Linked DNA regions of Macaca fascicularis. The main gene of each other region encodes a partner of the protein of the gene in region 5 in a complex. Links are inferred from orthologs where the notes say so. Each region holds a gene or a part of one and is shown on either strand. Other genes may lie near its edges. The genes, in order: CRNKL1, SNW1, TXNL4A, STRAP, SNRPD1, LSM3 and SNRPD2.

Region 1 (3,500 bases), on a different chromosome or scaffold from region 5:
ATTTGAATCTCACAGGAGCCGTAGAACTCACCCAGTTGTTTTGTTAATCTCATGCACTGACATGACCCTGCATTTAATGGTTTGGCCCCCTGACTGCGTTAAGGCAGAGCTTTGGGTATCACTGAGTTTGTCAGTTGTCCTCAGCTCCTCCACCAGACTGCCAGGTCTCAGGTGTCCAGGCCACGGTTTATTCATCCTTATGCCCTGCCAGGCTGCACCGAGCCAGTGCTCACCTGTTCAGTGAATGCTTGTTGCATTGAACTCTGATAATAACAAGGAGTGTACAGTAGAGGTAAGAACATACATACTGGCTAACCTGGGCCTATTTTCTCTCTGGAAGCTCAACTGCATGTAGCTGGAATATGAAAGAGTACCTGGGAGATGCTTGGCAAGTTTCTCAGCTCTTGATAAGTCAACCATTTGAAAAACTTCCAAAGAGAACCTCTAAGACTGAATCCAAGGCCCTTTTTCTGTAATCTGAAATTCTAGCCAAGTTTTGGCCAGCTTATAGATACCAATGTTATTTGTCTTATCCACATGTGTTCTTTAGTTGTTCTGTAAAACTCTTATGTTCCTAGATGTAGGTTAGAGTGATACTTAAGCTGTGCTTTGGCTGGGGGCATGCTGCTTTGCAAATGTCAAGACTGACCAATTTACTTGTCTTTCTTAGGTGCTTTGGAAATCATATATTGATTTTGAAATTGAGCAGGAAGAAACAGAAAGAACACGAAACCTTTACCGACGGTTGCTTCAAAGGACGCAGCATGTCAAGGTATCCGTTTGCTTTGTAGATGATCTTTCATTTTGCTTGAATCAGCAGTCCGGAAGAAAATACTCTATTTCTGTATTTTAAGTGTGTGGGGTTTTTTTGTTTTTTGTTTTGTTTTGTTTTGTTTTAAATGACTTCCTTGCTTCTTAAGAGAAACATGAGTCTCAGAGGACTTTCGAATGTTAAGTTTATACCAGGTCATTGTTTATGTTGCATGTGAATAGCTTGGGTATCACAAGATTGAAAAAAAGTTAAACTTTTTTTTTTTTTTTTTTTTTTTTTTTTGAGACAGTCTCACTCTGTCGCTAGGCTGGAAGGCAGTGGCGCAATCTTGGCTTACTGCAACCTCCTCCTCGCGGGTTCAAGCAATTCTCCTGCCTCAGCCTCCTGAGTAGCTGGGAGTAGAGGTGTGCGCCATCACGCCCAAGCTAATTTTTCTATTTTTAGTAGAGATGGGGTCACCTGTTGGCCAGGATGGTCTCAATCTCTTGACCTTGTGATCTGCCCGCCTCAGCCTCCCAAAGTGCTGGAATTACAGGCGTGAGCCACTGCGCCCAGCCAAGTTAAACTCTTTTCAAGAGTTTAAAACTATGTCAGACATTTAACTGTAGAATGTAGAATGACATATTTTCAGTGTTTGTATTGAAGCATATATTCATTGTTTTAATCTGTGAAACACTAGTAATGAACACATCTTTCTGATGTCATTAACTGGGAATTCGCTTTATTATTACTACATTAGTGTCTTCTGAGTGACATGGTTAATTTGGTTCAATAATAACTTTTTTTAAAGGTATGGATCAGCTTTGCTCAGTTTGAATTGTCTTCAGGAAAAGAAGGAAGTTTGGCTAAATGCAGACAAATTTATGAAGAAGCTAACAAAACCATGCGAAACTGTGAAGAAAAGGAAGAGAGACTTATGCTGCTGGAATCTTGGCGAAGTTTTGAAGAGGAATTTGGAACAGCTTCAGATAAGGAGAGAGTAGACAAACTCATGCCAGAGAAAGTCAAGAAGAGAAGAAAGGTCCAGACGGACGATGGGGTAAGATCTCTGCCCTGGGACTGTTCATCTCACGTCACATGAGTAGAAACACATCTGACTTTGAAATGTAGACTTTTTAGTGGCATATGTACAATCTTAGAATGGAAGCAGACCACCTGGAGTAGGAGATGGTTGCAATCTGGCTGTTATGGAAACACGGGGTAGAGCATATGGTCCAGTCAGAGGTGGAGAATGAGAAGGGGTTGGCAAAGGTGTTTTGATGACGGTTGAGTCTGGGAACTTCATGAAGTGTGATATTTTTAGAGCATTAAATAGGAAGTCAGCGTGGAGGAAGACTGAAGCGAACTTTCAGATAGCAGCCTATCCAGAGAAGGCTTGTAGGCGATAAGAAGGAGTTTGGTGGGAGTCAGTGAAGGCTGTTTTGCATAAAATGACGTGACCAGATTGCTGGCATCTGGCATCTCATACTGGTAGACTCAAGGGGCTTAGACTGGAGAAAGAAGACCCATCAGGAAGCAGTTTTTATAAGCTAGCAAGACATGGAAGCTGGAACTAGAACAGGGCCACAGGGCCTGTTAGAACAGTATTTGGAAGGTGAAATCAGTGACTGATAAGAGGTGAGGATGGGAGGGTAGGGAGTTGGAATAATAATGCACAGATGTATGACTTTTGCTACTGGATGAATATTATGTAAAAATCGTTAAACATTTTCTTAAACCTAAGACTGCACAATGTAGTTGGAGACACTGAACATCTTGGTTGGCTGTAGAAGAGCTATGCTTAGATTTTTAGAATTTTTTTCTACCATTTTAGTTCTCACTGAGCTACAGTTGCTGCTTACTCACTCCCAGTCTTTCAGACCCAGCCCTTGTTCTTTCTGTAGTAGACTTTGATGTTGTTTTGTAAAATGGAGGTAATCCTTCGGATTTCCAGTAAAAAACCTTCATTCTGATATGTGAGTGTATCACCCATGTTTGCTTATCTTTTCATTGTTTTATTTCTGTAGTCTGATGCAGGCTGGGAAGAATACTTTGATTACATCTTTCCAGAAGATGCTGCCAACCAGCCTAACCTCAAACTCCTGGCCATGGCCAAACTGTGGAAGAAACAGCAGCAGGAAAAGGAGGATGCTGAGCACCATCCAGATGAGGACGTCGATGAGAGTGAATCCTGATCTTTTTTTCATATTGACAAATGTTTTGTTATTTTTATAAATTAATTGTTTGGAACTCTTGTGACTCCTGGAAGTTCTTACATATTTCACCAGTAAGAAACTGATTGGTATCTTTGATAGCTACTTTTTAAGTTATTTTTTAAATGCTCTTGGGTTAGCTAGGGGTGGGGATTGCAAGTAAAGGACTTTTTTAACTGCTGGATTTCTTTTTCCAACTGAGTCCAAACTTTTCTAGCGTCTGTCCACATCATGCATTAGAAAATGTAATTAAGGTAACATTCTACAGTAACTTTTCATGTCATAACCATAAAGATAGTTTATGCATTCATCTGAAATGTGTAACTTTTTCATGTCTTCAGAGTCACAGACTTGAGTTCATTTCCCAGCTCTGCCACTCGTGATTATATAACTTAATTTTCATTTTGCTCATTCACAAAATGGGCCAATACTTTGACAACTCATTTTGAAGATTACATTATAAAAGGAATATACCTGGTGGGTGCATAGTAAGTGCTCAGTAAAGTGTTTGTTCTAAGCCACTTTTAAAAATAGTT
Region 2 (3,119 bases), on a different chromosome or scaffold from region 5:
CACAATCTTGGCTCACCACAAGCTGAAGCAATTCTCGTGCCTCAGCCTCCCAAGTAGTGAGGATTACAGGCATGCACCACCACACCTGGCTAATTTTCGTATTTTTAGTAGAGCTGGGGTTTCACCACATTGGCCAGGCTGGTCTCAAACTCCTGACCTCAGGTGATCTGCCTGCTTCGGCCTCCAAATGTGTTGGGATTATAGGCAAAAGCCACCGTGCCTGTCCTCCCTGGTTCTATTTTAAAAACAAAAGATTGACATACCACAGCACCAAGTTGTTTTTTTTTTTTTTTTTTTTTTTTGAGACAGAGAGTCTCGCTCTGTCGCCCAGGCTGGAGTGCAGTGGCTCAATCTCGGCTCACTGCAAGCTCCGCCCCCCGGGTTCACGCCATTCTCCTGCCTCAGCCTCCCGAGTACAGCACCAAGTTTTTAATCAGCTAATTTCTTTCTTCTCCTAGTGTCTCAAATTTCAGTCCACTGTAAGAAGTTAAAATCAGAACTGTTTCATCTTTCTTGTCTCAAGTTTCAACATACAACTTCCAATTTTTTTGTCATCATGCTGGCATTTACATCCAAATATGAAGTATGGTAATTTTCGTTTCCCTGAGGATAGGTATTCACATCAACACAACAATATGCTTTCCTAAACTTGTACCTTGGATTGGTTGAAGAGCCTTTGGTCATACTGAACTTCATTGGAAGTCCGAGGATTAGGAACACCGAGAGCAATGACTTCACTGATATCCCGATTTTCATTTCTCTGAAGTTTCGACCTATTTTGAAATACGACATCACTAACTGAAAACTCTTTATAGACAAACTGAGTATGTTCAATAGAAATACAACCAATCTCAGAAGCAAAGGACATGAATATGTCACATTCACATCTTGAGAACGTATATTCCTTGATAATACATAATCAAGTTGGCAGCCCTTATAAAGCATTTCAGATTAGAGGGAAGAGTTTTACAATTAGGACATCCTGTTAGCTCAAAAGAACATCTAACAGATTCGTTGACATGGAATTCTTTAATATAAGCAATCACCTTACAACCATACTGAGATATAAAATTGCTATGGTCTATATTTACTATCATATGATGGTTTGGGGGTTGGGGAAGTGGATACAATTTAGATGTAGCACAGGAATCATTTTAAATAAGCTAGAAACAGCTCTTTTATCTAACTACATTTAATAATTTTATCCCACTAGAATTTTGAGGAAAACATGTCAATGACTGAAATAGTTAGTATGATTTTTGACATTCAAATTAATTTGGTTTCCTGGCTGTTTCATTATACATGCAATCTATATCCCAATGAAACCATGGTAACTGTCATTACTTATTTTACTAAAAACTCAGGTCACAAAATGATTTCTACAGGCTATTTGATTTTCATCCAGTTACAATTTTACAGCTTTTCTATGTTGTCAATTCTGATGGCCACTTTACTGGTTTTGAGGGCCCAATTTATCCACAGAGCCATTGTAACTTTTACAACTTAGGAATTACTAACCAAGACTGTCATTAATTAAACACTTTCACACTTTGCTCCTCCTTCTACATGTACGTTACCCTCAACTCAAGAGTAAGAGTCTCTGCTTCTCTATGACGTCATTTATCCAGGGAGATGAAATATGCCAATTAACACCAGCAGGAATCTTTTTAATGCCTATTTATTTTTATTTTTGAGATACAGTCTCGCTCTCACCCAGGCTGGAGTATAGTGGCACGATCTTGGCTCACTGAATCCTCTGCCTCCAGGGTTCAAATGATTCTCCCACTTCAGCCTCTCGAGTAGCTGGGACTACAGGCACATGCCACCACACCCAGCTAATTTTTGTATTTTTAGTAGAGATGGGGGTTTCACCATGTTGGCCAGGCTGGATGAACTCCTGACCTCAAGTGATTCGCCCGCCTTGGCTTGCCAAAGTGCTGGGATTATAGGTGTGAGCCACCGTGCCCAGCCTCTTTTTTGTGTTTAAAATATGACTTGAAAAATGTATTAGGCTCATGGGATGATCAGAGCATAGAAAACTGTTCCTTTGGGAAGAAAATATTTTATATTTGCATTTAACCCTCACTCAGAATTCTACCTTTGTATTGCAGCATTTCCTCTACTTTTCAGAACTTTAAGTCCTCAGCCTTTGGTGAGCCATAAACTTCCCCAATCCATACTTTATGCCCTTGTATATGTATTTAGTTTGTTCCATACATTTATATTTACTAAAAGTGCTTTGCAAATTTTCTCAAATTATTTTATGGATAGCTCTGTCTTTCTGAACTGTAAGTTAAACTTCTGTTAAGAATGAGCTGATTTTCACTTCTTTCAAAACTGCTCTTCTCAATTGCACTAGATGCATATAAAGTACTATGCATATAAAATGATCTCAGTAAAAGCATGACAGCTTATTTCCTGTCTAAAGAGGCACATAATCCATTTGTCTCACCATTTAAGGTAGGAAAAGAACCGACTATAACAGTCCAAATTTACTACTACATCCTTTTCAAAAATCTGATCTCAATTCTGTTTTCCATATTCCCATCATTCTCAATTCTGACTTAAGTGATGGAAGAAAAGATTAATTCCAAAGACAGTCAACTAGAGCTAAGACAAAGTTAAGTATAAGAAAATTAAGTGCTAATGTATTAAGTTATCAAACTGAAGAAGAAAGGGAGAGAAGCAAAACTGATCTTAGTGGACTAAAAACTCTGCTCTAAAAGGTACAAAAAGGCCACTCTTCATGATTGGTACCTATCTTTTTTTGTGTGAGACGGAGTCTCACTCTGCCCAGGCTGGAGTGCAGTGGCGCCATCTCAGCTCACTGCAAGCTCCGCCTCCCAGGTTCACACCATTCTTCTGCCTCAGTCTCCCGAGCAGCTGGGACTAGACGCCCACCATGACCACGCCCGGCTAATTTTTTGTACTTTTAGTAGACATGGGGTTTCACCATGTTAGCCAGGATGGTCTCGATCTCCTGCCCACATCGGCCTCCCAAAGTGCTGGGATTACAGGGGTGAGCCACCGCGCCCAGCCTCCATGATTGGTACGTATCTTAAATAACACCTACCTCTTATCAGGAGCTGCCCTGGAAAGATTCCGGTCATGCTGTCTCT
Region 3 (2,971 bases), about 67 Mb from region 5:
GCCACGCTGGAGCAGGGTGGGCCCCAATCCAACACAGATGGTGTCATTACAAAAAGGGGAAATTTTGGACCAGCACCCACACAGGGAGGACACAGAAGAAGTATCCACACACCAAGGAACTGACAAGACCACCAGCAGCCCCCAGAAGCCAGGGAGAGGCCTGGGCAGACTCCCCTCACGGCCTCAGTAGTAACCCACCCTGCAACGCCCGATCTCAGACCCAGCCCTGCAAAGCTGCAACGCCCGATCTCAGACCCAGCCCTGCAAAGCTGCAACGCCCGATCTCAGACCCAGCCCTGCAAAGCTGCGACGCCCGATCTCGGACCCAGCCCTGCAAAGCTGCGACGCCCGATCTCGGACCCAGCCCTGCAAAGCTGCGACGCCCGATCTCGGACCCAGCCCTGCAAAGCTGTGAGAGCTTCTCTGTTAAGGCCCAGCTCGCGGCAGGCTGTCACCGCAGCCCTAGCAAACTAATCAAGTACGCAAAATGCACAACCTCACAGGATAAACACCTTCGTTTTACTCCAAGGATAAGAATTAACTTTGACTAGGAAATATCAGTCATGTATTCATCAAGTTTCCTGAGAACAAACAAGTAGGCCTGCTCCTCTCACCACGTGCTTGTTTATTTTGGTGAGTTAAGACCATGTAATCAATTCCATCTCAGAGGTCCTCCAGCCCTCGAGCTTCCTGTATTTTCCAAAGGCTTTAAATAGCTTAAAACATTTCCGCACAAAAACGGCTCCAGGACGTTTATCTTATCCGCGCAGACTGAGGTGCCTCAGTAGCGGTACTTGGTGGAGTAGTCCTTGGGGGACACCACCAGGCCGCGGCCTTTGCGGGCCCCGCGGTACACAGTCTCTATGATGTCCACCATCTCCTGCTTGTCCTCCATGGCCCAGTTAATCTTGTTGTTGTTGCCAGTCCCCAAGTCAATCATGATATGCTTGTTCCTGCAAAGAGAAACAAGGGCATCCATTCTCATAAAATCCCTTTAAAAAAGAATTCCTTGAAAACAATGCTGTATTTTTCCCACTGTTACAAGTTCTTGTTAACATCACTGAAGAACGCATAAAATCAAAAGTGTCTGCCATGATGCAGGAGAACACAGGAAGCACCTAAACGTGCTTTTTAAAAATGCAATGCATCGTCCACCACGCTTTTCCCTGCATTTTTCTGTATTTATTTAGGATAAATATTCTAAGGGGAAATTAAAAGGTCAAAGGAGGGCAGGCGCAGTGGCTCAAGCCTGTAATCCCAACACTTTGGGAGGCTGAGGCAGGAAGATCACTTGAGGCCCAGAGTCTGAGACCAACATGGATAACAAAACGAGACCCCCAACTAATTTGTACTAATTTACCTGATAAAAACAATGTGTTTTTCATGGTGCTCTTCTGAGCACTGACATAAATTGTATTAAAAGCCCTTCAACTATGAAATGAAGATGACATTTTGCATGTTTATGGTGAGGGAAGCAGATGATTCTTGACTTATCTTTCAAGAGATTAGTTCTTTTTCTTATGAATACTTATGTGCACTTTACAAGATAATGATATTAGCCCTTTGTTGTACTGGCATAAATTTATCCTGGTTTGTTGAAGTTTCTTTCTGAGATGGGGTCTCACTGTCGTCCAGGCTAGGGCACGGCAGCAAAATCAACCTACCGGCCCAAATGATCCTTCCACCTCAGTCCTCTACATAACAGGGACAACAGGCATGAGCCCCCACACCCAGCTAATTTCTAGTTTTTTGTAGAGATGGGGTATCCCTATGTTGCCCAAGCTGGTCTCAAATTCACGGCCTCAAGTGATCCTCCCACCTTGGCCTCCCAAAGTGCTGGGATTACAGGTGTGAGCCACTGCGCCCGACCTGATTATTTTTCTTAGAGATGAGGTCTATGTTGCTAAGGCCGGACTTGAACCCCGGCCTGCAGAGTGGCTGGGTGGCAGGCATGCCCCACCTGAAGACTGTTTTTTAACGTTCACTTCCACAAGATCATGCATTTGGCTTCCACCTACTATTCCACAGAAAGCGTTCCCAGTGAAGTCTGTGGTTCAGGAAAGGCAAATCTGATCAGGGTCTGGAGCCCACCTCTGGCCGCCCTCTCATTCTCCATGCTGCAGGCCGGCGCTCCATGCAGCACGCACCAAGATCCTTCTACACCGACTGGGGCTGCCCGTAGTACCCTCCCTGTAGCCCTATCTGACTTGGGGGTACTTCTTCAGTATTTACATCTCATAAACACCTGCCTCCTTTCACTTCTTCAGTATTCCCTGCTAATTTACTCAGCTGTTTCTTCTATCAGACAAAGTCCTGTGAGAGTGGGAATCCTGCCTTATCTGATATTAGGCCCCACCACTAGACCACAGACCTGGTGGGGGCTCAAGACACATGTTTAGTGCATAAGGTAACTAAAGTACCATTTGTCTTAATATTCTGAATCACAGAAACAACAGCAGAAGGAAGTTTCATCTTCTTTTCTGAGTATAGCATCAGTCCTACGAATATCAAACTACACTAAGTAGGCTACAGCCTCCATCCAAGGCTGTTCCCTGCAGCCTCCTTGCCCCTCACAGCATCTCCAGCCCCAGGCTGGCCTCCGCTGCATGCTGTGGGGGACAGAGACCTAAGACGGCCCTCCCTGTTCTCACCTGAAGAATTAGAAAAGGCCTCTATTGCCTCAAACAGGCTGTTAACAGGAATATGGACTTTAGGAATGCCTGGTGCGGGCTCGGAAGGAAGTGAGGAGTGCGTTACTGGGAAACGGAGCAAAGGGGACCCCGTTACAGAGTGGCCGAGGAACAGGGACACAGGGTCCGCAGTTATGGGAGATCAGTGCTCAAAAGCAACACACTTGGGATATTTAGCTGCGGAAACTTCCAAGCAAAGTGTCGGAGGTGCTGCCTTCAAGAGAGGAAACAGGCAAATTCGTGTAAGAACTGTTAACAAAAGGAATAAATTCTTGAGCCTC
Region 4 (4,136 bases), on a different chromosome or scaffold from region 5:
CAAAAGGGAGAGGCTGACACAAAGGAGGAGTCAAACAAAATAAAATGAAAAACGTATATAGTAAGTGCTTTACTGTAAGTGAATGGACGAGAGTACTAAGGAAAAAGAATAGAGACATATTTCAAGTTTTCACGTTGTTTGACGCAAATCTTGTAGACGGTGTTTGCTGCAAAAAGATGAAGAAAACATTCACAGACATTTATGTTGATTACATATTTATTGGTATGTGCCAAGACGTTTTGATCTTGGGGATGAAGTAGTAAACACAAAAATCTCTGTTGTATAGGGCTTACATTCTAGCAATAAAGAACTTGCCCAGAGAAAAGGCCTCTCCTGGTTAGTAAACAGTATGAACAATTAACAGCTCTGGTTGTTTCACAGAGCCACACTGGGCTGCCTGCTGCAGACAATATCACAGTTTATATTTAAATATTCTTTTAATTTGTCCTTGTATGTAATTTGCAAATTATCACTCATATGTATACATATCAAAAGATGTGTAAAAGTTTTTGATAGAATTCAGCATTCATTCGCTTAAAAAATGAGTGCAGGCTCACTTTATTGATGAGAGTATTTAATCAAAAATATTGGGGATCTACAACTCTAGAGTTCTCCAAAGTCCACCAAGGAAAAAGTAATTTGAATTTAATCGCATTTAAAACTATATAGTATCCACGCCTAAAACATTAGCAACATAGGAAAACTCACACAGCAGAAGAGATGGCTGGGGAATTTTTTTTGGTTTTTGTTTTTTTGTTTTAAGACAGGGTCTCGCTCTGTCGTCCAGGCTGGAGTGCAGTGGCGCGACCACCGCTTACTGTGGCTGGCCTCGACTTCTCCGGCTCCAGTATCCTCCCACCTCAGCCTTCCAAATAGGTGGGACCACAGGCACCACCACGCCAAGCCCGTATATGGTTTTTAAGTAAGACAAATTGCAAAAAAACGTTACTAGACAGTGTTCGCAGGTTTGAGCCGTCACTGGGAATGGCTCGTGTCCGTCTAGATATTCAGAGGCCGAGCACAGTCCTCAGTAGGGCTGCTCGGCGGGTACACTGCTGCCGCTGGCCCCTGGGCTTACGGGAGTGGGAAGGGATTTCAACTCGGCCGCGGACCGGGAAGGCGTTCTGACCCGCTAGAGCTCGGGGCGAGGGACCCCATCCCGGTGCCTACAGCGCCTCCTTTAGCCGGCATGGGCCAGCGTTAGTTACCTCAGGGCACTGAACTGGCGCCTGCGTCTTTCTGCACTTCTCGCTCTTTCTTCAAGTCACTTATGCCCAGCGAGCCCGCCCTCCCGCCAGCCAATCGTCATTTCCGGCGGGTGCTCTGCGTCATTTACGTCGTCACTTCCTGCCGATACCGGTGTGGACGGTGTGAATCGTGGCTGGGCCGGTTCTCTGCTTCTCCCCATCCCCTACTTTCCTCCCTCCCTCCCTTTCCCTCCCTCGTCGACTGTTGCTTGCTGGTAGCAGACTCCCTGACCCCTCCCTCACCCCTTCCTAACCTCGGTGCCACCGGATTGCCCTTCTTTTCCTGTTGCCCAGCCCAGCCCTAGTGTCAGGGCGGGGGCCTGGAGGAGCCCGAGGCGCTGCAGCAGAAGAGAGAAAAGACAACGACGACCCTCAGCTCGCCAGTCCGGTCGCTGGGTTCGCCGCCGCCATGGCAATGAGACAGACGCCGCTCACCTGCTCTGGCCACACGCGTCCCGTGGTTGATTTGGCCTTCAGTGGCATCACGCCTTATGGGTATTTCTTAATCAGCGCTTGCAAAGGTGAGCAAGGCCTCAATCCTGGTCCCCGACGGCTGGGACTGGGCCGAAAGGGATTGGGACCCGCACTCTCCAGTGCTGAGCTGTGGTGTGGTGAGCGGGGAGGGGGCGATATTAACATCTGAGATGAGGGCCAACACTGGTCCAGTGGAGAAAGGAGTGTGTTAGGGAATCCGCAGCTGGAGCCGAGAGGCCTCCGGACGCTTATGTAGAAACTATTACCCCCAGCTAAGACCTCTCTCCTTATTTTATTTTTATTGCTATTTTTGAAGGAGCTGGACAGCACTTGCCTAGACTCTCGGGACAACACTGTAAATAGCTGTCAAGGATTTGGGGAAAGGAGAAATTAGGCCAGGCCGTGCGATACCTTACAAAGATGTTCGCTCTTGTCTCACTGGGTATTCCTTTGTGGTATTAGCCTCATTTTTCAAATGGGAAACAGATTTAGGCTACAATGTTTGTCCAAAATAAGACTAAAATCTAAGTTATTTCGACGCAGATCAGTATTCCCAGCAAATTACAGATGCTTTTCAGGGAAAATGATCTGTTCAGCTCTTCAGTTAATTATTACTGGACATTCCGTAGTGACTTCAATCGGTGGTGATAGTTAAATAGCTGAAACAATTTTTCCACTTCGTCATTGAACATCATTGTATATTTACATTTGAATCTTAGACTTTAATCCGAACTTATAAATTACATGTTTTAAAAAATATTTTCTAGATGGTAAACCTATGCTACGCCAGGGAGATACAGGAGACTGGATTGGAACATTTTTGGGTCATAAAGGTGCTGTTTGGGGTGCAACACTGAATAAGGATGCCACCAAAGCAGCTACAGCAGCTGCAGATTTCACAGCGTAAGTGTAGCCAAGATGGCTAACTTTGGTGTTCTCTGTAGATTGTGTCCTGAAATAATCAAAAACTTCAGTCTCAGATATTCATAAAATTCTGACTCGCTGGCTGCCATATAGAACGCATGATGTTTGATCTCACCAAAATTCCATCCTGGTCCATCGTGGTCCTGTGTGCTGCTTTTGTCTTCAGTGGTTCTCAAAATTTTTAGAGGCCTAAATGACTTACTCCTTATATTTTGATTGAGACTCAGGAATCTGCATTAACAAACGCTCCAGATAATGAATGTTGATCTCCTTTACGAATGCTGCTCTGTGTGTACTCCTTAGTGATAACCTACAGTGATGACCCTAGGTTTTTATTTCAATCCCAGTTTTTGTTAACTGGCTGTAGGCATCACTAAAACTCATTGTGTCAAAAACAAACAAAAAGACAAAACAACAACAAAGCAAAACTCAACTGCTCTTCATTTCCTAAGTTTTTAAAGGTTGAAATCTAAAGCATTCTTGATTTTCCCTTACATCGAGATTATCATCATCTGTTTTGATTGTGCCAGCAGGATGTCTCCTGACTACAATGTTCCTCCATGTAGTAACTGCCACTGCCTTAGTTGAGGATCATTTTTAACTTTCAGTAGTTTCTTTTCCTCCTATTCATATTCCATATTGCTGCCAGTTGTCTTCCTAAAAATGTATTTGATCATGTCACTTCTCTACCTAATGATCTTGCTGTCTTCCCTTTGCCATTTTAGTAGTTCATGACCTTTGACATACATTAGAATATCTGGAGAACTTTTCAAATATTCAAATGGTATGTGTCCCAGAAATTTGGATTTTTAAAACTTTTTTTTTTTTACTTTTTTACTCTCTATGCATATATATATTTACACTTTTTACTACATTGAAAAATTTTTAAAATACTTTTTAGTATATAGACAGTATCTAGCTATGTTGCCCAGGCTGTCTTAAACTGTTGGCCTCCATGCGTCAGCCTCTCAAAGAGCTGGGGTTTTGGGGATGAACTATTGTGCCTGGTACAGAAATTCTGGTTTGATTGGTCTTTAGGGATAGAGTACTGATCATACTGATCATTGGCGTTTTTTTTATTTTTCTTCCCTCCTTTTCTTTCCTGATATGCAGTCGTAGAATTGCTGACCTAAAGGACACATTTCAATTGTTGGCCCTTTACAGTTTGCTTCATCCTAGTTCATCAACATCATCCTCTCCCATTGCACACCATAAACCTACAATCTAATTATACTAATCTTATTGTTGTCAGAAATATACTTTACCTGTTCTGACTTTTGGCTGTTAATTATGTTATTAAACTGACCTACAGTGGCCCTCGTTGCCTTTTTGGGAATATATCATGTATTAAAAATCTTGTTTTCTCCAGTTCCTACTTGGTATTTGTAACTTAGGAATTTGACACTTCATTGTTTAAACTGATGAAGGCAATATCAAGAGCTATTGTGCATACACAAATTTATTAGATTTAAGAGGCTAGAGAGTACAAGT
Region 5 (4,247 bases):
AAAAGGCCAGGTGAGCTTGGCATCCTGAAACCTGAAAGAGGTAAGGGGAGTGTTTGTGTTAAATCTTGATGAAGTTCACACCTGTAATCCTAGCACTTTGCACTTTGGGAGGCCTAGAGAGGCAGATCACTTGAGGTCAGGAGTTCAGGTCATCCTGGCCAACATGGGGAAACCCTGTCTCTACTAAAAAGACAATAATTAGCAGGGCGTGGTGATTCCCCCCTGTAATCTCAGTTACTGGAGAGGCTGAGGCACGAGAATCGCTTGAACCGGGGAGGCAAGGGTTGCAGTGAGCCAAGATGGTGCTACTGCACTCCAGCCTGGGCGACAGAAGGAGACTCTGTCTCAGAAAAACAATAAAAATAAATTTTGAGGAGATGTTGTGAAAGATGAAGATTGAAAAGTTTGTCTTATAGATCGGAACTTAAAGTGAAAATAATCCGCTACATTGTGTGATTTTATTTTTTTATTTTTATTATTTTTTGAGACGGAGTCTCGCTCTGTTGCCAGGCTGGAGTGCAGTGGCGCGATCTCGGCTCACCGCAACCTCCGCCTCCTGGGTTCAAGCGATTCTCCTGCCTCAGCCTCCCGAGTAACTGGGACTACAGGCGTGTGCCACCACGCCCAGCTAATTTTTGTATTTTTAGTAGAGACAGGGTTTCACCATGTTGGCCAGCACGGTCTTGATTTCTCGACCTCGCTATCTGCCCGCCTCGGACTCCCAAAGTGCTGGAATTACAGGCGTGAGCCACAGCGCCCGGCTCATTGTGTGAATTGCTTCAGGTACATTAAGTAATGCTAAGGTTCCTGGCGTTGGAACAGAATTAGCATAATCCTTTGGGCTTCTCTAAGAACTTATTTTCGTTCAGTGAGGAATTTATATTAGGTGCTGCACTCACGGTGCCCTGCTATTCAGAAACGTGATGGTGACAGTACTAGTGTGTGTGTGTGTGTGTGTGTGTGTGTGTGCGCGCGCGCGCGCGCGCGCGCGACGGAGTTTCGCTCTTGTTGCCCAGGCAGGAGTGTAGTGGTGCGATCTCGGCTTACTGCAACCTCCGCCTCCCGGGTTCAAGCGATTCTCCTGCCTCAGCCTCCCGAGTAGCTGGGATAACAGGCGCCCGCCACCACATCCGGCTAATTTTTTGTATTTTTAGTACAGACGCGGGTTTCACCCTATTGGCCAGGCTGGTCTTGAACTCCTGACCTCAGGTGATACCCCCGCTTCGGCCTCCCAAAGTGCGACAGTCCTATTAATTGGATTTAACCTCTTCGAATCTCCTTCTCTTGTGGGACACTTTTCCTCTTAGACCAGCCCTCAACACCCTCAGTCGTGGCAAGGCAACCTCCAGCCGCCAGGGGCCGCAGTCGCGCTCCTCGCGACCGGAAGAGAGTGCGGCCCAGCGCAGCCTCGGCGTTTCCGCCGTGCGTCTGCTGTGCTCCGCGCGCCCTTTACGACCGGAGTCCCTGGAGTAGGCGCTTCCGGCCATTCATACTGCAGTTGGTCAGTATTCGGTTGTTGGATTCTGTGCGCTCTCGGACCCGAAGGGTGACGGCGCCGCTAGGATGAAGCTCGTGAGGTGAGGGAGTGACCAAGCAGCTCTGGGGGCTGTGGAGGGAGGGCTTGGCCCGGAGTCCGGAAGGCTGGGCTCTCCCATTTGCAGGAGGCGGGAAAGCCGCGTGTGCGCGGCCTGCTAACGGCCGGCCTTACTGCGCCCGCAGCTCGTGCTCGGGCCTGGGCTTCTGCCTGGGTCGCTCGCGGATCCCGCGTGTCTTCCAAGATACTGGTATAAAGGCCGAGCCTTTTCTTCCCGCCTAGTGACTTAGAGACTTTCAAGGTGCAGCGCCGCCTGGGAGACATCTCGCCCTTACAGTTACTGATTTTCTTTTTGAGTGGAGCTCCAGCCCTACTTAAGAGTACTTAGAAAGCTGTATGAGCTTATCTGGAAACAAACCTGTTTGCAAACTGTTTTAAATCAGAGAAGGACTTCTGGCTTCACAAGTTTTTGTTTTTGTTTTTTTTTAAATAAGACGGTGTCTCACTTTGTTGACCAGGCTGGTCTCGAACTCCTGGGCTAAAGCGTTCTGCCTGCCTCGCCCTCCCAAAGGGCTGAGATTACCGGTGTGAGCCACTGCGCCCGGCCGATTTTTAAGTTTATCTTTTGATTCTCCTTAGACTTATGATTGATTATTCTACCTCTTTCCTGTTAAGGTAAGCTTTTTATTTAGGAAAATCTCCCAATATAGGGCAGAAATTATCACAACGTAATTGTGGCTGATTACCCAGATGATATATAGTTATTCTGTTTTATTTCTTTCGCGAGAAATAGACCCTGTCACTTAGGTGAGTCTTCTGGAGACTAATTCCAAACTACCTGCGAGTAGATTTGGTTTTGGTCTTTTTCCTTGAGACTGAGCCTGGAACAGAGGCAGACGTTTCTAATAACTAAGCCATCGATTATAAATATTTAGCTTGTTTCTTTCCTGTTGAGTCAAGGATTGTCATTATCCGCTAAATAGTTATTGGGCACCTGTTACCTACTGGGCGCTGGTAATAGTATTTTTTAAAAGGCAGATCCTTGTTGGAGCTTTCTAGTTAGGGGGATGACAGACAAGTAGATAACGTTTGTTTGAAACGTTTTAAATAACACATAAAAGCCTTCAATATTCAGGGAGGAGGCCAGGCGCAGTGGCTCACGCCTATAATCCCAGCACTTTGGGATGTCAAGGCGGGCAGATCACTAGGTCAGGAGTTCGAGACCAGCCTGACCAACATGGTGAAACCCCGTCTCTACTAAAATTACAAAAATTGCCCGGGCGTGGTGGCGCGCGCTTGTAATCCCAGCTACTGAGGAGGCTGAGGCAGGAGAATCGCTTGAACCCAGGAGGCAGAGGTTGCAGTGAGCTGAGATTGGCCACTACGCTCCAGCCTGGGCAACAGAGCGAGACTCCGTTGCAAAAATAAAAAAATAAAAAATTCAGGGAGGAGTTGGTACAAAAGACAATTAAGATTAATTTTTGTTGTATTTTTATTTGAACTATAATTTTGGATAGGAAGTCATAGAATTTAAAGTGCATTTTTTAGGCTGGACGCGGTGGCTCACGCCTGTAATCCCAGCACTTTGGGAAGCTGAGGCAGGCGGATCGCCTGAAGTCAGGAGTTCAGGACCTGCCTGGCCAACGTGGTGAAACCCCGTCTTTCGAAAAATACAAAAATTAGCCGGGCGCCTGTAATCCCAGCTACTCAGGAGGCTGAGGTAAGAGAGGCGCTTGATCCCGGGAGGTTGTAGTGAGCCGACGTCACACCACTGTGCTCCAGCCTGGGCAACAAAGCGAGACTCTGTCTCAAAAAAGAAAATTACAACATTTTTTGAAATTTCTCCATACCTGCTAATCTGAATCTTAATCTACTCATAGTTCAATTTTATGTAATACACCTTGGATTTCATTTGTTCCCTTTAAAGATATTGCATGTTATGGCAATTTTCCAGTAATTTTTAATAGCTGGACTGAATCCTGTTTTGTGTCTTAGGTCAAATATAGAAAGAAAATTTTTTTCTTACCAGAGAATGTATTTTTCCTCCAGAAAATGATTGTTTGACTAACTGGTTTGCGTTTTCAGTAGACTAATTTCTGTATATCAGTTGGTAGTTGTCATCCTTATTCTCACTGTCACCCTAACCAAAAACCTGGGAGGTGAGCTTGACTTTTTCTCTCCTGATGTCCTTGACATTTGATACACTGCCAGTTTTACCTACTGCATAAAAGTGTCCCACATTTTCCTGTTTGTTTTTTGGGTTCAGATAGTGTGTTTTGATACTGAGGGACACCGTGTTATCTGACTATTTGATATCTAAGTTTCACTAAGTAGAAAGAATTCAGATACTGAAAGATTCGTCTGAAAATAAGTTGAATCCATTTGGTTCCTGGGTTCAGTTAGGGAGGGATAATTGTGTATTTGTCCTGCCCATAGTAGCCTCCTTTCGTTCCGGTCACCACCATTGAGGTTCAGGCCCTTTTTATCCCACTCATGGATTTTTGTTTTCCTTCTTTGAGGTGAATATCTTAATACAATGAAATGCAGCGTATATTTCCTGCTATTGAAAAACATAAGCACTTTTGTAACCTAAACCCCTATCAAGAGAAGTAACATTACCAAAACCTCAGTTTCCTCAAGCCTTTCCCAGGCAACCTCTGACTCCATACCCCTAGATGCAACCAATTTCTTCCACCATACATGAATTTTGCCT
Region 6 (4,198 bases), on a different chromosome or scaffold from region 5:
GATTTGAAGAAATCAGCCCTGGCAAAAGCCATGGTGGGGGGTCACTCTAGGCCGAAGGAATATCAAAGGAAAAGGCTCAAGAAATAACTTGGCATATTTGAGGAAGAGAAAGGAGGCCAATGAGGAGGGTATCTGGCAAGGAAACAAGTGGTAGGAGAAACAGGAGAGGTAGCAAGAGCCAAAACACGTAGCATCTTGCAGGCCAGGATAAGACAACTGGGTTTTAAACTAAGAGCAATGGAAAACCAAGGAGAGTTTAAAGCAGGAGCATGGCATGATTTTTTTTTTTTTTTTAAAGATTATTTGCGTTGCTGGATGCAGAGCTGGGAGGCCAGTCAAGAGGAAACTGCAGTCACTCAACTGAAAGGTGATGGTGACTTGGACAGGGGTTGTGGCCATGGAAATGAAGAGAAGTGGACAAATTTGAAATACAGTCTGAGGCTGAACTGACTGGACTTGCTGACGGGACTGGATGTGTGCACATAAGAAAAAGGTGGACTTTGTTTTATAACAAGTATTGGGACTGGAAAAACGGAGGAAACCATAGATTTGAAGGGGAAGACCATGAGCTCTGCACTGTCCACGACAAATGTAAGAAGCCTATCCAATATCCACGAGGGGAAGTCAGGTGGGATCCCACTGTGGAACTCTGGGCGAGACTCAGCTGAAGTTATCATTCGGGAGTCAGCACACTGCATCACTCTACGTCCTGGTCCGTCCGTCCGTTTTCCTGGGACACAAATAACTGCCTTCTCCGCGTTCAACCCTGAACATCTGCGCTGTATCCTCTGGACAACGGGGAGCGGGAAAGAAGCTACGCAGGAGCTTGGGTCGGGCGAGGCTCACGGGAAGCCGCTCTGGGTGCAGAGGACAAAGGCGCAGGGACAGCGGGGAGGGCCGGCCGCGGCCTGCCGTGCTGCCCCCACTGCGCGGAACGCGCGCAGCAACCTCCACCCGGCCTCCGCGTCTGGACTCCCGCCGCCCCTGCCTCTGGGCCTCCTCCGCCCACCGGCAGAGTCTCCCGCGAAGCCCGCTGGGCCACGCTCTCACCCTCCTCCTCCTCACGCCGGGTCTTGCTCTTGGCCTTGGACTTCTGGCTGCGCGTTTCGCGTCCCCGCGGCTCCCCGCCGGCCGCGCGCTTCCGAGCCATATTGCTTGTCGGGGAAAAATCCACTTCGCGAGTGACGCACCAGGCCGCGATGCGTTAGAACGCAGGCCCCGCCCCGAGGCGGGCGCGTCTGGCCGCGCCCCTTCGTTGGAGGCCTAGTCACGCCCCCAAAGGAAGCTCCGCCCCATACCCGTGGCCACTAAAAAACCGCGGGAAGCAGGCAAGAGCACAGCAGGTTTCTATTTCCGGTGTATTGTAGCATCACGTTTCCGGAGCTCGGCGTTGCTCTTGTGTTCTCGCGAGAGGCGGGAAAGGGCGCAGGGTTTGAAACATGGCGGACGACGTAGACCAGGTGAGTGAATTTTAAGGCGGTGGCTCGGCGCCGCTTCTTGTACTAAACTGCTTTTTCCAAACGCAGGAAAAATGGCCAGTCGCGCCTCTTCTTTCCAAGTCACACGGCCTAATCCGCCCCATCCTTTCCGTAAACACCCCTGTCCGAATTTTGCTGCAGGCCCTGAGGTCTTTTCCGTTAGAAGGCCACCTGATGACTATTCATCACACTCTTCGCTTTGTTTTTTTAAATCTGTAAATTATTATGCGTGCCTACCTCACGGAGCTGTCAGGATTCCAATAGAAAGCCAGATAATAAAGTTAGGAGTTGTTATTACTGAGCACAACAATTATTTACTCATTCAGCAGAGAGAGTGAACATCAGCTTTGTATGGTTAGACACTGTTCTAAGAGCCAGGGACACTGACATCGATATATAAGTGATCCTTGCCATGACTTGGAGCTTATATTCGCGAGGAGAACAGATAAATATAAATATGTAAGATTTATAGGAACTGTGATGTGCTATGAAGGAAACAAGGAACTGGTATGCAGAATAACAGATGGTCCTAGAAGCTTTTTCACCTGGTCTTTTTCTTCCTCAAATATCTTTGGAGATCATGCTACAACTTAAACTTTCTACTGAAATCTCACCTCCTCAGAGAGGACTTCTGCCCAAATAGCACTCCCCCTACTCTGCTTACCCTGCCTCATTTTTCTTCATAGAACGTTATTTTTTCATATTAAATGTATGCATCTTTGTTTAATGTGTATCTCTCCTGACTAGAATGTAAGTGCCATAACAGTAGGCATTTTGTTTTGTTCATTCTTTTGTCCTTGGGGTTTAGAACAGTGCTGGAAATACTCAACAAATATTTGAGTGAATGAGTTAGATGATCAGAGGAGGCCTCTTTTAAAAGCCAATGTATAAAGCTACAGGATGAAAAAGAACAGAAAGTGGGCATCCCAGACAGAGGCTTAGGTAGCAGTAGAGCTCTGTCATGTGCATATTCTTACAGTATTATAATTATTCATATGCCTATCCACATTAGAATGAGCTCCTTGAGGGTGGAGATTGTGACTTCTGTATCATTGTAATCTAACAGTTGGTTATCAGATCCTTTAACAAACACCTGTTGAACTGAGGGACATAGGGACCAGTTGAGTTAGGTTATTTTTTTTTCTCTCATCGGGCCTTTTGAATCTTTAGCGCCTGTTACGAATTCAGTTACCTTCCTCCACTGGCCTTGTGTGCTTACTAAAGAAGCTCTCCTTGAATCATCTAACTCTTTAATGGCTGCAACCCTCCCTTCCATGTGGGTGACCCCAAGTCATCCTAGCCCTGACCTCTAAAACCAGTGTTTCCAGCAGTTCTTTAATAATATAATATTAGTAGGAATCTTTTCTTTTCTTTTTTTTTTTTGGATGGAGTCTCACTCTATCGCCCAGGCTGGAGTGCAGTGGCGTGATCTCAGTTCACTGCAACCTCTGCCTCCTGGTTCAAGCGATTCTCCTGTCTCAGCCTCCCAAGTAGCTGGGACTACAGGCACGTGCCAGCACGCCTGGCTAATTTTTGTATTTTTAGTAGAGACGGGGTTCACCATGTTGGCCAGGCTGGTCTCAAACTCCTAACCTCAGGTGATCTGCCTTTCTCAGCCTCCCAAAGTGCTGGAATTCAGGCCTGAGCCACCACGCCCAGCCAAAAGGAACCGTTTCTAAGTATTAATATTTTCTGCTTTCCTGGCACTGTTTTAAATGCATTAACTAGTTTCATCCTCATAAGAATCCAGAAGGAAGGTTGTGGCTTTCTCAATTACAAATGAAGAATCTGAGAATTACAGATGGCATGATTTTTAATCTCAGTTCATAAGTGTCAGGTCACAGCCAGGAGTTGAACCCAGACTGCCTGACTCCAAAGTCAGTGCTTGCTTGCTTGTTGGCACCATCTTGGCTCACTGCAACCTCCACCTCCCAGGCTCAGGCAATCCTCCCACCTCAGCCTCGGAGTAGCTGGGACTACAGGCGCATGCCACCATGCCCGGCTAAGCCAGTGCTTTGAACCAGTGTTCTATTCTGGCTACTAAATATTCATCTTACTGGCCAGTTGGCAGCCTAACCTCAACCTGTGCTGAATTCATAATCTTCCCATAAACCTACACCTCTACTTGGCATTCTGACTAGTATATGGTAGGCATTAAGTGAGTGTTTTTCCTATGATTACATAATATTTGAGATAAAGCTAAAGTTCCTAAGACCCTATACCCTGAAATCGGGTCAGGCAGTTTGGATTTTGAGGGAACAAAGTATAGTCATGATTATTTTGCTGTGTAACTCCTTCTTATGTATGCGTGTTTTAATCTACATTTATATAGCACATACTATGTGAAAAGTTCTGTTCTAAGCCTTCATATATGTCACTTAAGCCTCATAAAAACAGTATTAGGTAGACACTATTATCTCCATTTTACAGATTAGGAGACTGAGGCAGAAAAAGGTTAAATAACTTGCACATGGTCATACAGCATAGCAGTGATTTAAGCACTACTTTATCTCTAGTACTATATTACTAAACCTGTTTCTGTTATCAGCAACAAACTACCAACACTGTAGAGGAGCCCCTGGATCTTATCAGGCTCAGCCTAGATGAGCGAATTTATGTGAAGATGAGAAATGACCGAGAGCTTCGAGGCAGATTACATGTGAGTAAATTTATCAAGTTACCTTGAAATCAGATTCCTTCCCACCCCCACTCCCTTGAAA
Region 7 (4,001 bases), on a different chromosome or scaffold from region 5:
TTCCTGACCTCGTGATCCACCCGCCTCGACCTCCCGAAGTGCTGAGATTACAGGTGTGAGCCACCGCGCTCAGCCAGACATTTTCAACTCTGCATGTCTCAGGTCGGGGTCCAGATCACCCAACCACCGAAGCCTACCCTATCCACAGTGTTCCCCATCTGCCTTCTAGTTCTCTGGGCAAAAACTCTTTGTCAACTTGATTCCTCTTTTTCCCTTGCATCCTACAATAAATCTGTAGGAAGTGGCCATTTCTTACCATGGCCTCAGCCTCTGTCATCTCTGACCTGGAATCTTTCCGGTCTCTCTGCCTCCACCCATGTTCCCTGACAGTCTGTTCTCCACAGAGTGGTCTGAGGGGGCTGTGCTAAAACCTAAATCATAACATGTCACTCTTCAAAGCCCTCCCAGGGGCTGGGTACGGTAGCTCATGCCTGTAATCCTAGCACTTTTGTGGTGCAGAGGTTGCGGTGAGCTGAGATCGCGCCACTGCACTCCACCCTGGCAACAGAGCAAGACTCCGTCTCAAAAAAAAAAAAAAAAAAAAAGAAAAGAAAAGAAAAGAAAATGTCTGTTAGGCATCCAGCTGGTGATGATTCACAAGGCGGGTGGATCACTTGACATCAGGAGTTCGAGACCAGCCTGGCCAACACGGTGAAAACCCATCTCTACTAAAAATACAAACAAAACAAAAACAACAACAAAAAATTAGCCAGGCGTGGTGGTGCACGCCTGTAATCTCAGCTACTTGGTAGGTTCTGGCAGAAGAATCGCTTGAGCTCAGGAGTCGGAGAGTGCAGTGAAGCGAGATCATGCCACTGCACTCCAGCCTGGGCGACAGAGCGAGACTCTGTCTCAAAAAATAAATAAATACAAATTAGAAAATACAAAAATTAGGCTGCGTGTGATGGCTCACGCCTGTAATCCCAGCACTTTGGGAGGCCAAGGGGGGTGGATCGCCTGAGCTCAGGAGTTCCAGACCACCCAGGGCAACATGGTGAAACCCTGTCTCTACTAAAAATACAAAAAAATTAACGAGGTGTGATGGCGCATGCCTCTAGTCCCAGCTACTTAGGAGGATGACGCAGGAGAATCGCTGGAGCCCCAGCAGCGAAGGTTGCAGTGAGCCAAGATTACACCACTGCACTCCAGCTTGGGTTACAGAGTAAGACTCCATCCCCCACCCCAAAAAAAAAAGTAGCTGGGCATGGTGGCGCATGCTTGTAATCCTAGCTACTTGGGAGGCTGAGGCAAGAAGATCACTTGAACCCAGGAGACAGAGATCGTGCTACTACACTCCAATCTGGGTGACAGAGCGAGATTCCATCTCAAACAAACAAAAGAAAATCCTCCCATGCCCCCCCGCCATCTCAGTGTAGAAAGTAAAACCCCGGCCAGGCATGGTGGCTCACGCCCGGCCAGGCACGGTGGCTCACGCCTGTAATGCCAGCACTTTGGAAGGTCGAGGCAGGTGGATCATTCGAGGTCAGGAGTTTGAGACCAGGTTGGCCAACATGGCGAAATCTGGTCTCTACTAAAAATATAAAAGTCAGCTGGGCATGGTGGTTGGTGCCTGTAATCCTAGCAACTCGGGAGGCTGAGGCAGGAGAATTGCTTCAACTCGGGAGGCAGAGGTTGCAGTGAGCTGAGATCGCACCATTGCACTCCAGCCTGAGCAACAGAGCAAGGCTATGTCTCGGGAAAAAAAAAAAAAAAAAAAGATTTTTTTTTTCCTTGGGAACAAAAGGTTTCATTCACTGATGTATCCTATGTGGCTTAAGCAGTGTCTGATACATAAACATTCAATGTAATATTTGGTGCACTAATAAATGAGCAAAATCATGCCAATCACTCGTTATCCCTTTAAGTTGTGAATTAGGTCGAAAACGCATCTGTCTCCAGCTCAAATGATCAGGAGAAGTCCCTTATTTCAAATCATTATTTCTAAAAGTCCTAACTTCCCTTCCCCAGTATTCGTTTTGATTTCTTTTGTTTCGTTTTGAGATGGAGTCTTACTCTTCGCTCAGGCTGGAAGTGTGCAGTGGTGCAATCTCGGCTCACTGCAACCTCCGTCTACCGGGTTCAAGCGATTCTCCGGCCTCAGCCTTCCAAGTAGCTGGAATTACAGGGGCCCGACACTACGTCTGGCTAATTTTTGTATTTTTGGTAGACACGGGGTTTCACCACAATGGCCAGGCTGGTCTCAAACTCCTGACCTCAGGTGATCTGCCCGCCTCGGCCTCCCAAAGTGCTGGGATTTACAAACCTGAGCCACCGCGCCCGGCCTCCCCCAGTATTCGTAAAATCGCTGCCCCTTAACATTCACTTCAATAGGACTAATTATCTAGGACCCCCCTCCGTTATCGTTTAAAATATGTTTTTCATAATTAAAAAAAATTTTTTTTGTAGAGACGGGGGTCTCGCTATGTTGCCTAGAGTAGTCTCGAAACTCCTGTGTTCTAGCGATGCTCCCGCCTTGGCCTACTAAAATGCTGGGATCACAGGCATGAGTCCCCGCGCCCAGCCCAGCGCGTTATCTGATAAAGCTGTCCCCTCTCCCGAAGTCACGATGCGTCAAAGGCCCCACGCCCGTTCTCAAACTCATCAGGAGAAACGCAGGACGCTCCATCCCTAAAACATCTGCCCCTGTCCCCCACCCCGCTCTCTGCTCAACCCTTCCCACCCTCAATCGGTCAAAATTTCCACCCTCAACCTCCTTCCCGCCGCCTAAGCCTAGCCCGGCCTCACATGATGGTCACTAAGCTCTCCGTTCACTCCCGTTTCCTCCGCGTTGCTGCAGCCTGAGGCGAGAGAGGCGGGACTTCCTCTTCCTGCGACCCACTTCCGTTGGCGCCTGCGCAAAGCCAACCAGTAAGTGGAGGCGTGGCCTGTTGCCATAGCATTGCCCACCAACGGTGCACAATGAAAGAATAAAAGCCTCGGATAGGGGTTCGAGGCCAGTCAGAACCACACGGGGCAGATGTTTATGACAATGAAGACAAAAGGAAAGGCGGTCTGATTCAAACCGTTTCGTTTAAGAATGGTACAGGTTTAAGGAGGGAAATGACAAACTATTTCCAAATGCCCGCCGGCCGTGACTTCGGGGGCGCGGCCTCCGCTGAAGCCAATCCGCTCCTCGCTTCGGAGACAGGCACCGCCCCTCTTCCCTCTGGGACGGGTTATTGACGTATCTACTGATCTTTCCGACCCTGCGCCACCAATCCCCTGCCTACATCCGGGAGGGGCATGGACCTGCGCCCGAGAGATTGAATATTTTCCACGATCAAACGCTGCTCATTGGCTTTCCCCCTCCGCTAAGGCGGAGCCTATCTCTTTTGCGCTCCCTTTTGGGTCGTGCCATTCTCAGAAGAACCAACCCCAATACCCAAGGGAGGCCGGGAGGCGTGTCCTCAGGACCGTAGCTCTTATTGGTTTCGCTGCTCGCTGTGGGGTGGGCAGGTGCAGCCGCTGCTGTTGCTTATTGGCCCACTGATTCCATGGGGTGGAACTTGGCTGGGCCTAAACTCAATCGTGGTCTGGTACAGGTTTCAGGGCATAGCTGCCATGCGTTCCGGGGGCCGCGGGCGGCCCCGCCTGCGGCTAGGGGAACGTGGCGTTATGGAGCCACTCTTGCCCCCGAAGCGCCGCCTGCTACCGCGGGTTCGGCTCTTGCCCCTGTTGCTGGCGCTGGCCGTGGGCTCGGCGTTCTACACCATTTGGAGCGGCTGGCACCGCAGGACTGAGGAGCTGCCGCTGGGCCGGGAGCTGCGGGTGAGGCTGGGCGGGGACCCGGGCACCGCGGGGACCCTCATTCCCTCCCCGCTGTTACCCAGGGTTGACTTGGCTTTAGCGTACGGCCCTAACCGCAGATGCCACAGTCTTCGTCATCTGAGCGCATGACCCTTACCAAAGGAATAAGGCTTCGGGCTGGTTTTACAACAGTAGCTTCCTTTTATGAGGAAAGGTCTGAAATAGTAAGACGAGGGGGTTCAGGGTTCTACGCC

Evidence for each region.
Region 1: SNRPD1 (region 5) and CRNKL1 share a complex: the UniProt entries of both Homo sapiens proteins name them as parts of the minor spliceosome. The link is inferred for Macaca fascicularis from reciprocal best matches to the Homo sapiens genes SNRPD1 and CRNKL1.
Region 2: SNRPD1 (region 5) and SNW1 share a complex: the UniProt entries of both Homo sapiens proteins name them as parts of the minor spliceosome. The link is inferred for Macaca fascicularis from reciprocal best matches to the Homo sapiens genes SNRPD1 and SNW1.
Region 3: SNRPD1 (region 5) and TXNL4A share a complex: the UniProt entries of both Homo sapiens proteins name them as parts of the U4/U6-U5 tri-snRNP complex. The link is inferred for Macaca fascicularis from reciprocal best matches to the Homo sapiens genes SNRPD1 and TXNL4A.
Region 4: SNRPD1 (region 5) and STRAP share a complex: the UniProt entries of both Homo sapiens proteins name them as parts of the SMN-Sm complex. The link is inferred for Macaca fascicularis from reciprocal best matches to the Homo sapiens genes SNRPD1 and STRAP.
Region 6: SNRPD1 (region 5) and LSM3 share a complex: the UniProt entries of both Homo sapiens proteins name them as parts of the U4/U6-U5 tri-snRNP complex. The link is inferred for Macaca fascicularis from reciprocal best matches to the Homo sapiens genes SNRPD1 and LSM3.
Region 7: SNRPD1 (region 5) and SNRPD2 share a complex: the UniProt entries of both Homo sapiens proteins name them as parts of the SMN-Sm complex. The link is inferred for Macaca fascicularis from reciprocal best matches to the Homo sapiens genes SNRPD1 and SNRPD2.

Annotation. Positions count from the first base shown.
Region 1 is NC_088384.1:67,267,686-67,271,185, forward strand, and holds the end of CRNKL1 (crooked neck-like protein 1), read left to right. Parts: intron 1-670; coding exon 671-772; intron 773-1,562; coding exon 1,563-1,811; intron 1,812-2,778; coding exon 2,779-2,946; 3' UTR 2,947-3,001; downstream 3,002-3,500. UniProt on the Homo sapiens protein: Involved in pre-mRNA splicing process. As a component of the minor spliceosome, involved in the splicing of U12-type introns in pre-mRNAs.
Region 2 is NC_088381.1:145,676,371-145,679,489, forward strand, and holds part of SNW1 (SNW domain-containing protein 1), read right to left. Parts: coding exon 3,074-3,119; intron 774-3,073; coding exon 656-773; intron 1-655. UniProt on the Homo sapiens protein: Involved in pre-mRNA splicing as component of the spliceosome. As a component of the minor spliceosome, involved in the splicing of U12-type introns in pre-mRNAs.
Region 3 is NC_088392.1:1,026,814-1,029,784, reverse strand, and holds the end of TXNL4A (thioredoxin-like protein 4A), read right to left. Parts: intron 954-2,971; coding exon 782-953; 3' UTR 501-781; downstream 1-500. UniProt on the Homo sapiens protein: Plays a role in pre-mRNA splicing as component of the U5 snRNP and U4/U6-U5 tri-snRNP complexes that are involved in spliceosome assembly, and as component of the precatalytic spliceosome (spliceosome B complex).
Region 4 is NC_088385.1:18,696,899-18,701,034, forward strand, and holds the start of STRAP (serine-threonine kinase receptor-associated protein), read left to right. Parts: upstream 1-1,336; 5' UTR 1,337-1,656; coding exon 1,657-1,768; intron 1,769-2,488; coding exon 2,489-2,624; intron 2,625-4,136. UniProt on the Homo sapiens protein: The SMN complex catalyzes the assembly of small nuclear ribonucleoproteins (snRNPs), the building blocks of the spliceosome, and thereby plays an important role in the splicing of cellular pre-mRNAs.
Region 5 is NC_088392.1:68,147,116-68,151,362, reverse strand, and holds the start of SNRPD1 (small nuclear ribonucleoprotein Sm D1), read left to right. Parts: upstream 1-1,447; 5' UTR 1,448-1,563; coding exon 1,564-1,577; intron 1,578-4,247. UniProt on the Homo sapiens protein: Plays a role in pre-mRNA splicing as a core component of the spliceosomal U1, U2, U4 and U5 small nuclear ribonucleoproteins (snRNPs), the building blocks of the spliceosome.
Region 6 is NC_088376.1:152,442,898-152,447,095, forward strand, and holds the start of LSM3 (U6 snRNA-associated Sm-like protein LSm3), read left to right. Parts: upstream 1-1,398; 5' UTR 1,399-1,439; coding exon 1,440-1,460; intron 1,461-4,026; coding exon 4,027-4,137; intron 4,138-4,198. Other genes in the region: XPC (DNA repair protein complementing XP-C cells), read right to left, coding at 1,051-1,150. UniProt on the Homo sapiens protein: Plays a role in pre-mRNA splicing as component of the U4/U6-U5 tri-snRNP complex that is involved in spliceosome assembly, and as component of the precatalytic spliceosome (spliceosome B complex).
Region 7 is NC_088393.1:53,756,366-53,760,366, forward strand, and holds the start of SNRPD2 (small nuclear ribonucleoprotein Sm D2), read right to left. Parts: upstream 2,801-4,001; 5' UTR 2,748-2,800; coding exon 2,746-2,747; exon of another isoform or gene 2,014-2,745; intron 1-2,013. Other genes in the region: QPCTL (glutaminyl-peptide cyclotransferase-like protein), read left to right, coding at 3,562-3,768. UniProt on the Homo sapiens protein: Plays a role in pre-mRNA splicing as a core component of the spliceosomal U1, U2, U4 and U5 small nuclear ribonucleoproteins (snRNPs), the building blocks of the spliceosome.